Sus scrofa: one gene and its partner. The main gene of each other region encodes a partner of the protein of the gene in region 2 in a complex. Links are inferred from orthologs where the notes say so. Each region holds a gene or a part of one and is shown on either strand. Other genes may lie near its edges. The genes, in order: NOP10 and NHP2.

Region 1 (3,269 bases), on a different chromosome or scaffold from region 2:
AGCAGTCAACAACTATAACTTTTCTGCTGGGATGATCGAACATCAGAGTCCAAGAGAAGCACATTTACCCCTTTCCAGGACCACTCTTGATAAATCAGATTTGCGCTTATTTAAGTCACATCTGCTTCTGGAAGCCTATGTAGGAAAAGAAGATTGTACAATTGGATGCAATCTCCAAAAGGCAATTTTAAATCAGTGGCACTAAGAAAACGTTTAAATTCAACGTCAAAAGCCAGAAATGAGAAGATTAGGAAATAGTGAGTCGATTAACCTAAGGAATGGAAAAAGCAAGTTAGCATTAGCATTTCTTTCTTTCTTTTTTTTTGGCTGGAGGCATGCAGTGGCCTGAGATGGGATCTCAGCTCCCAGACCAGGTATTGAACTTAGGCTGCAGGGGTGAAAACGCAGAGTCCTACCTAACCACTAGACCACCAGGAAACTCCCGGATTTCTTGGATACCTGTATACAATATTATGCCTCATCATCCCTCTATTATGAAGTAATCGGATTAAAAATTTGTGATTACCCCATGACAGAAGCTCAAGGCCTAAGACATCCTCCACAATTTAATAAAAATGATCCCTCAAGAGGAGCATGAAAAATAAAAATCCCTGCTTGAATCTCTCATGCCTCATCTTCTAAATTAAGATCCATGTAGAATTCCACATAGCAGACAGAATGTGAAGTTAGGTGTATGTAAGAAGAGAATTCCTTGATGGAAAGAACTAAAGGCCTGGGAATATTTCCACAGGGTCAGTAAACACACATAAAGGCATTCCTATTCACAACGGTTGGCCAAGTGAAGGTGGCTGTTGCAGATGAGTCTTTCTCAAGCTTTCCTCCCTTTCCCCAGCCCCCTCCTATGACTCATAGCATAGCACTACTGCTACAGCAGCCACCAAGAAGTCTTGTATCCCTGGGGTACTCTTCCCTCTCATCTCCCTCGTTTGTTTTTAAACCAATCCTCTCTTCTTACAACATACAAAATAAGAGCTCTTTCAAATCATTTTAATAACATGGCAGTGATTCAAAGTATGAAAAAAAAGATTCAAACTTTTTCCCTTTAAAGGGAATGCTAGCATGACTGCTTCACAACAAGCATGATCAAAGGCAATGATGAGACCGGATTCTAATGAGCAAGGGTTGGAGTAAATCTTCAAGGCTCACAGATCGAAGAGCTTGGTTGCACAGTCTCTTGAGCGCTAGCAGGCAGCATACAATTTTAAGAGATTCTCAAAGGACGGGGCGCGGTTGCTGGGTCATAAGCACCTTGAAGCGTTTCTTGATAGTGATCCGGTGTCGAGAATATTTGTCGTCTGGGGAGAACCGAGCAGGATGGGCCGAGCAAGTCTGTTGTCCCGTGGGGTCGAGCTTCTGCTCGAGGAGGAAAGAGATAACAAATCTCAGTAATGGAGTGGTGAGAAAACCCTATCACTGAGAGTCATGAGAGATGGGGCCTGGGATGGGGAGGGGGCAACGCGGAAAAAGGTAAACATGAAGACAGGACACGCGACGGTCGGATCCAGGAGCCAGACACTCCTGCTTCTACTACGCGTAGCTTCTGGGCTTTCTAGTTCCCCTCACCCAGGCAGGCAATTCACTGGCTTGCCTTGACCGCCCCTCCCAACTACAGTTCTCGTCATGCCCATTTACAACCTGTTTCTTCTCACCTTTAAGGTATAGACCCGGTCTCCCTGCTCGTTGAGATAATACTGGAGAAACATGATCACGCTGAAGCCAGTAGACGCAGGTCCTTCCGCAGCTGCTTCTAACTGAAGGCCTAAAGTGTTTGGCAACTTCCTTCCGGTATAGACGGAAGTCTCGCTCTCAAAGCACGCCGGGAAATGTAGTCCAACTTAGGCCTTTCTCCAGCCGGCCGGAAGGGGGCACTACCGCAGGACTTGGCCAGTTGCAATCCAGTTGCAAACTTGCAGGCGTTATGAGACACGTGGAGTGTGCCCACTGTGTGCTAGGCACTGCTTGGCGTCAGTGGGGGGAAGGGATGGATATAGATTGAACATTAATGAATAAAATCCTGTCTTTATCACAAGATACACACCCATTTCAGAGGCAGTGAGCTTCTATTACCTGGAGAAACCAGGGCTCCAGGACCCAGAACCCCTTTTACTTTAGGGAAGAAAGAAGAAGGTTTTCTTCCCTCCCCTCTTTTACATCCGGTTCCCTCGCCCTATTTCAAAGTATTGGCGGTAAAGAGTGCATGATGGGTATTCAATATTCTGTACAGCGAAAAGAGCGTGAAGTTATTTTATGAAACTGGTGAAGTATGTTTTAATGGTCGAACCAAGATTCAAACTCAAGTCTCTACCACAAATTCAACGCCCATTCTTATAGTGGTGAGTAGCTAATAAGACGCACCCCTTAGGGGTATTTCGAATTTTTAAAAGAACGTACAAATTCTCCTTATAGGACTTCTAGTTAAAGCAATGAATTTGGAACCGAGATATCTTTACGAAGGTGGCCGTTATTATTTATAACGGCAGAAACGTTGTAATATATATTAAGTTTATAACCAGAAAAAGCTGAAAGCTTTTTTAAAAAGAGTATAGTTTGTGTTTATTATAATTGCATAAAATACCTTTGCAAGGATTCAGAGGAAATTTGGTTTTCCCTGGGGTAAATAACTCGGTTCCAGAGGAAAGGAATGGTTGGAGACTTGTTATATTTCATTTTGCATAGTTTGACTTTTGAACCATGCTGACATATTACCATTTAAAAAATTAAGATTATTAACAAAAATTTTAAACAAAAATAACAAACAAAAAGAAGGACTTTTTGCTCTTGAAATTTTAGGCTGAATAGCAGTTTTTGATGGAATGGGAGGCTTTTCAGCCAGGGTTAAGGCTAAGCCTTCTGTGGACTGCAGAGCTGATGGTAGTGGACAGTTTGGGAACTGCAGCACAGCTTTCCAAGGAAATGATATGTATACAGCAATTCAATGCCCTTGATCTTCTAAGACAACCCTAATTTCAAACATTCTGTTCCCTTGATCCTTAAGTACACAGACTATGTGCTCTGAATTTGGTTCAGAAAATACAGCCAACACTGAATTAAGTCAAGGGTTTGCCAGAACCTGTTATTAATAGGAAGTCAGTTATAGAACTGGGTAGCATTGAAAGACAAAAACTAGATGTATTGGTGAAGAATTCTGTAGGGAACCAAGATGTGGTTGGGAATCCAGGAAAGAATCTGCAAGTTGCCCCAGAGAGGTGTGCAACAATTGTGTTGCCATACTCTGATTTGGAGGGAAT
Region 2 (4,537 bases):
TATCTGCCATCCCTCATCTAGGAAGGAGCAAAGCCAAGAATCCACCCAGGCCTATCTTTTAACTCCAAAGCTCAGGCTCTTTCCCACTATGATCTGCTGCCACATACCTTATCCCAAGCCTCCTTACCGTCTTAGAGGGGATATAGACGTAGGGCAAATTCCGGTCTTCACACATAACTGGGAGATGGCAGTATACCTCAACAGGTAACGTGTCTCCTGCCAAAACCATGATCCTGAAATGAGAGAAGCCACTGTCATTTCCAGCTTGCTTGTTCCCTCTTTCAGTTATAAGTGCCACCTCTGAGCTGGCCATTGGGAGTACAGAGATGGGTAAGTTGGCTCCTGCCATCAAGGATCCCAATTATTAATGTGTGTCGCCAAACCTCTGGAAGTACGTGCAGATTGGTTTGGGGAGTGCATTCCTCTGGGAGGTGATCTCTATTGCTTGGCAACAAGTAAACCCACCAAGTGTAACAAAGGTATTGGGCTGAGACAGATGAGGTATGGGAGGGATGCCAAGCAGTAAGAGCTCAGAAAAGAAATCAGGAAGCAATACTTGAGAGGAGACCTGAATGATGAACATCGGTCAGGCAGCCCATGGAGGGGATGAGGACAGGGAAAGCATTTTAAGGTCCAGAGAATCAGTGCAGGTTTGATCCTCAGCCTGGGGCAGTGGGTTAGGGATCTGGTGTTGCCATAGCTGTGGCACAGATCAAAGATCACAACTTCGGATTGGATTTGATCCCTGGCCTGGAAACTTCCGTGTGCTGCAGATGCTGCCAAAAATAAAAAAAATAAAAGGCACCTCAAACTTGTCTAAAACCAAACTTGTGATCTTCCTGTACAAACTCAGCCTCTTCCACTGTTCACTCTCTCAGTGAGTAGGCCCTCTGTCCATTCGCCTCGAATCCATACCTCTTCACTGTATGTCCAAAAGTCTTCTCATCCATCCACTTTAATTCTCTCCATCTCTGCCATCACTAACCTAATCAAAATTGCCCTCACCTCTTCTGCACCAAAACAGCCTCCTATCTCAACTTCCCCATCTAGTCTTCCATCTCTTATCCTTCCCAAAGCTTCCAGAAACATCTTCTTAAGGTGTAAATGTAATTATGTCACGCCCTGGCTTTAACCCTCAGTGGCCTCCAAAGCTCTGAGTACAAAAACTAAACTTACCATGGCTTACAAAGCCCCATGAGAGGACAGCACTTCTGCCCACTACTATCCTCTCCTGCCCTGGGATTCACTTTCCTCTGACAGAATGCTCCTCCCTCCCCCACACAAATTCCTAGAACTTCAGACCTCAGCTATCCCACCTAGCATCACCCCCCCATCATTTTTTATATCTTGAGCAACTACAATGTACCACACACTTCTGGAAAGGAAATAAAGCAGTGAGACGGTTCATCCTGTCCTCAAAGAACTTATTTTCTGATATAAGTGAGAGAGAAAGGGAGTAAGAATGTAAATAAGTAAGGAGGTTCTCGTCGTGGCATGAACCGTGTATCCATGAGGACGTGGGTTAGATCCCTGGCCTCTGCCCTTGCTCAGTGGGTTAAGGATCTGGCATTGCTGTGAGCTGTGGTGTAGGTCGCAGATGTGGCTGGGATCCCATGTTGCTGTGGCTGTGAGGTACGCCTGGGGATACAGCTCCGATTAAACCCCTAGCCTGGGAACCTCCATATGCCTTGGGTGCGGCCCTAAAAAGACAAAAAAAATAATAATAATAATAAGATAGAAACGTAAATAAGTTCCTGAATCTGACAAATGCCAAATAGGGAAGATGTAGGGTAATGAAGTCATTCTCACCGCACCCTGTACTTTTTTCCCTTCTGTAGTTGCCTATGACAAGTTGTAATCCTGTGTGGTTAATGTCACTATCTCCTCCTGTAGCAAGTGCCTGAAAAGGGGCAGACAGTAAATAGTGGCTGCATGAATGAAGCTGGGATCTACCTGAAGTGAGTTGGCTTATATGACTGGCTTCCCCTGGAATTCTCTTTCCCCATGGCCGTCCCTTAGAGCTCGTGCAAGTGATGTATTGACATCTGTGCTGAAAGGAATTTACCGACTAATCACCTGAATATCAGGGCAAGTCAGAGCACTTTTACCTACTAAGTAGGAGGGATACTTTCGTCATCGTTTAGAAATGCAAAACCGGGCAGTAGGGGGTTCTTACCCTTTTTCGCCTTTGTTGATAAATTTCTGAACCTCCTTCACCCCGCGCCGAATCTGCTTCTGCTTTACGGCTGCAACGACAGGGGAATCAGCCCCGGGGGCCTTGGGCCACCACCAGCGTCCCCACCCTGCCCGGCGTCCGCCGCATCTCTCTTTTCTAAAATTTTTATTTATTTTCTGAGGCTGTAGATTTTCTTTAAAAAGTTTTTTATTATAGTTGACTTACAATGTTCTGTCAACTACTGCTATATAGCAAAGTGATCCTGTTATATATTTATATACATTCCTTTTTTCCACATTATCCTCCAGCACAGGTGATTAGATATAGTTCCCTGTGCTATACAGCAGGATCTCATTGCTTATCCAATCCAAATGCAGTGGTTTGCATCTGCTAACCCCAAACTCCCAATCCATCCCACCACCGCACCTTTCTTGATGCATTTGTAGAGCTTCCGTGTCAGTTTGCGAGAAGCCAGGGGTTGCGCGATGGGGTTCAGATTCACCAGCAGTTCATGATAAGTGCGCTCCCCGCAGCACGCATCTGCCTGGGCCTCCGGCCCGTCGGGATCTGCCTTTATTTTGGTCATGGCAGCAACTCGGCAACCAAGTGCCCAAGAACCGAGTACACGCGGCCGGCGCTTCAGAAATCGCTTCCGGGTCATGCCCCTCTGAGGGAAGCAGTCAGTACACGACAGCCAATTAGGAACCCAGGTCCCAGACTCTGACCAATCACCGATGCTAAACTCGTTAAATATAGAGCGGGGGGCAGAGTCTCGGCGGTAGGGGCAGGACCATTCCCACAGCTGAGGCGGGGCGGATTAAGGCCGGAGTCCGAGGACCTCTGAGGGAGGGGGCGGAGCCCGGAGGGAGGCGGGGCCTGGAGGAGGAGAAGAGGGACTGGGACGGCTGCCTCGGCTCGTCTGGCTCGTCTGAGAGTTGCGCGTCAACCATACTGGAGACGAGGGGGCGGAGGCTGTACCTGTGGGGGGCGTGACCAAGTCTAAAAGGACGGATCCTAGCTTAAAGGGCGGGTTCTGCTACCAGAGGTCGGCCCAGTGTGATTCCACACCTCCTTAGAATCTGATCCCTCCAATGGGCAGTGCCGAGCCTGGTCAGGTCCCGGGTCCAGAGCCGGTCCTGGTGGCGTATACCCTAGGTACTAAGGTTAAAGTAAAGCCTTAACTTAATTGATAACGATTTCTTCGTTCTAGCACGATTTCTCACGCTCTGCTCTCTTTCCTGGTAAGGGATGGCCCCATTCATTGAGTGCCTCGATCTGGACCGCTTTTCCCCAGAGAGCCGGTGACTTTCTTTCCCGCCCTTCCCGCAGAGACCTGCTCAGGTGTTACCCATGTGGGAGATTTTCCTGACCACACTTAACCTAAAATTCCAGTCCTTGGGAGTTCCCTTGTAGCGTAGCTAGTTAAGGATCCAGTGTTGTCACTGTTGCTTCTGTGGCGCGGGTTCCGTCTCTGGCGGCGGGAACTTCCACTGGCATGGGAAAAAAAAAATTGCAGTTCAGGCTCACCTTGCATCGGCATCCCCTAACCCTCTGTTTTCCTCATCGTTCCTACCACTGCCTGGCATCACGCACAGGGGAGGCATTGCGGAGACAGCGGGAACTGCAGAAGAAGGCTTGAACACTGAAGCTGAGAAGTTGGGGCGTCGTGGGGAGAGCTCTGAGTAGGCACTCTGTGTGTAGTTATCTGTAGAGGATTAGTGGATGGTGCCGCTGGAGAGGCAAGCAGGCCTAGACCAGGGTGGATCTTGTACCTCTGCCTTATTTCTTGTGTCCTATTGGGTGGATATTAATTAGATCGTTGCTGTAAGTCAGTTGCCTTGATCATGCGGTGTTAGGCCCTCCATTTTTGTGGTGGTGGAACAGCCCAGAAAGTGGAAATTTTTTTTTTTTTTTCTTTTTAGTGCTTCACCCACTGCCTATGGAAGTTCCCAGATTAGGGGTTGTATCAGAGCGGTAGCCACAGGCCTACACCACAGCCACAGCAATGCCAGATCTGAGCAGCGTCTGTGACCTATACCACAGCTCACGGCACAGCTAGATCCTTAACCCACTGAGCGGGGGCCAGGGATCAAACCCAAGTCCTCATGGATCCTAGTCAGGTTTGTTATAGCTGAGCCATGATGGGAACTCCTGAAAGTGGAACTTTAGAAGTCTGCAGGTGGCTTGCCAGCGCATGGCAGTCAAGCCAACCGAAAGCCTGACCTTTTAACCTCGCAACCAAGTGCAGTCATTACATAATACTGTTTTTTAAAATTTTTTTTTTAGTATTTTAGGAGTTCCCATCCTGGCTCTGTGGAAACAAAACATTTAAAAATATATGATTATGGAGTTCCCTTTGTG

Evidence for each region.
Region 1: NHP2 (region 2) and NOP10 share a complex: the UniProt entries of both Homo sapiens proteins name them as parts of the H/ACA small nucleolar ribonucleoprotein (H/ACA snoRNP) complex. The link is inferred for Sus scrofa from reciprocal best matches to the Homo sapiens genes NHP2 and NOP10.

The regions. Positions count from the first base shown.
Region 1 is NC_010449.5:80,159,586-80,162,854, reverse strand, and holds NOP10 (H/ACA ribonucleoprotein complex subunit 3), read right to left. Parts: upstream 1,832-3,269; 5' UTR 1,725-1,831; coding exon 1,671-1,724; intron 1,375-1,670; coding exon 1,234-1,374; 3' UTR 556-1,233; downstream 1-555. UniProt on the Homo sapiens protein: Required for ribosome biogenesis and telomere maintenance. Part of the H/ACA small nucleolar ribonucleoprotein (H/ACA snoRNP) complex, which catalyzes pseudouridylation of rRNA.
Region 2 is NC_010444.4:80,221,738-80,226,274, reverse strand, and holds the start of NHP2 (H/ACA ribonucleoprotein complex subunit 2), read right to left. Parts: upstream 2,837-4,537; 5' UTR 2,763-2,836; coding exon 2,603-2,762; intron 2,247-2,602; coding exon 2,177-2,246; intron 234-2,176; coding exon 128-233; exon of another isoform or gene 1-127. UniProt on the Homo sapiens protein: Required for ribosome biogenesis and telomere maintenance. Part of the H/ACA small nucleolar ribonucleoprotein (H/ACA snoRNP) complex, which catalyzes pseudouridylation of rRNA.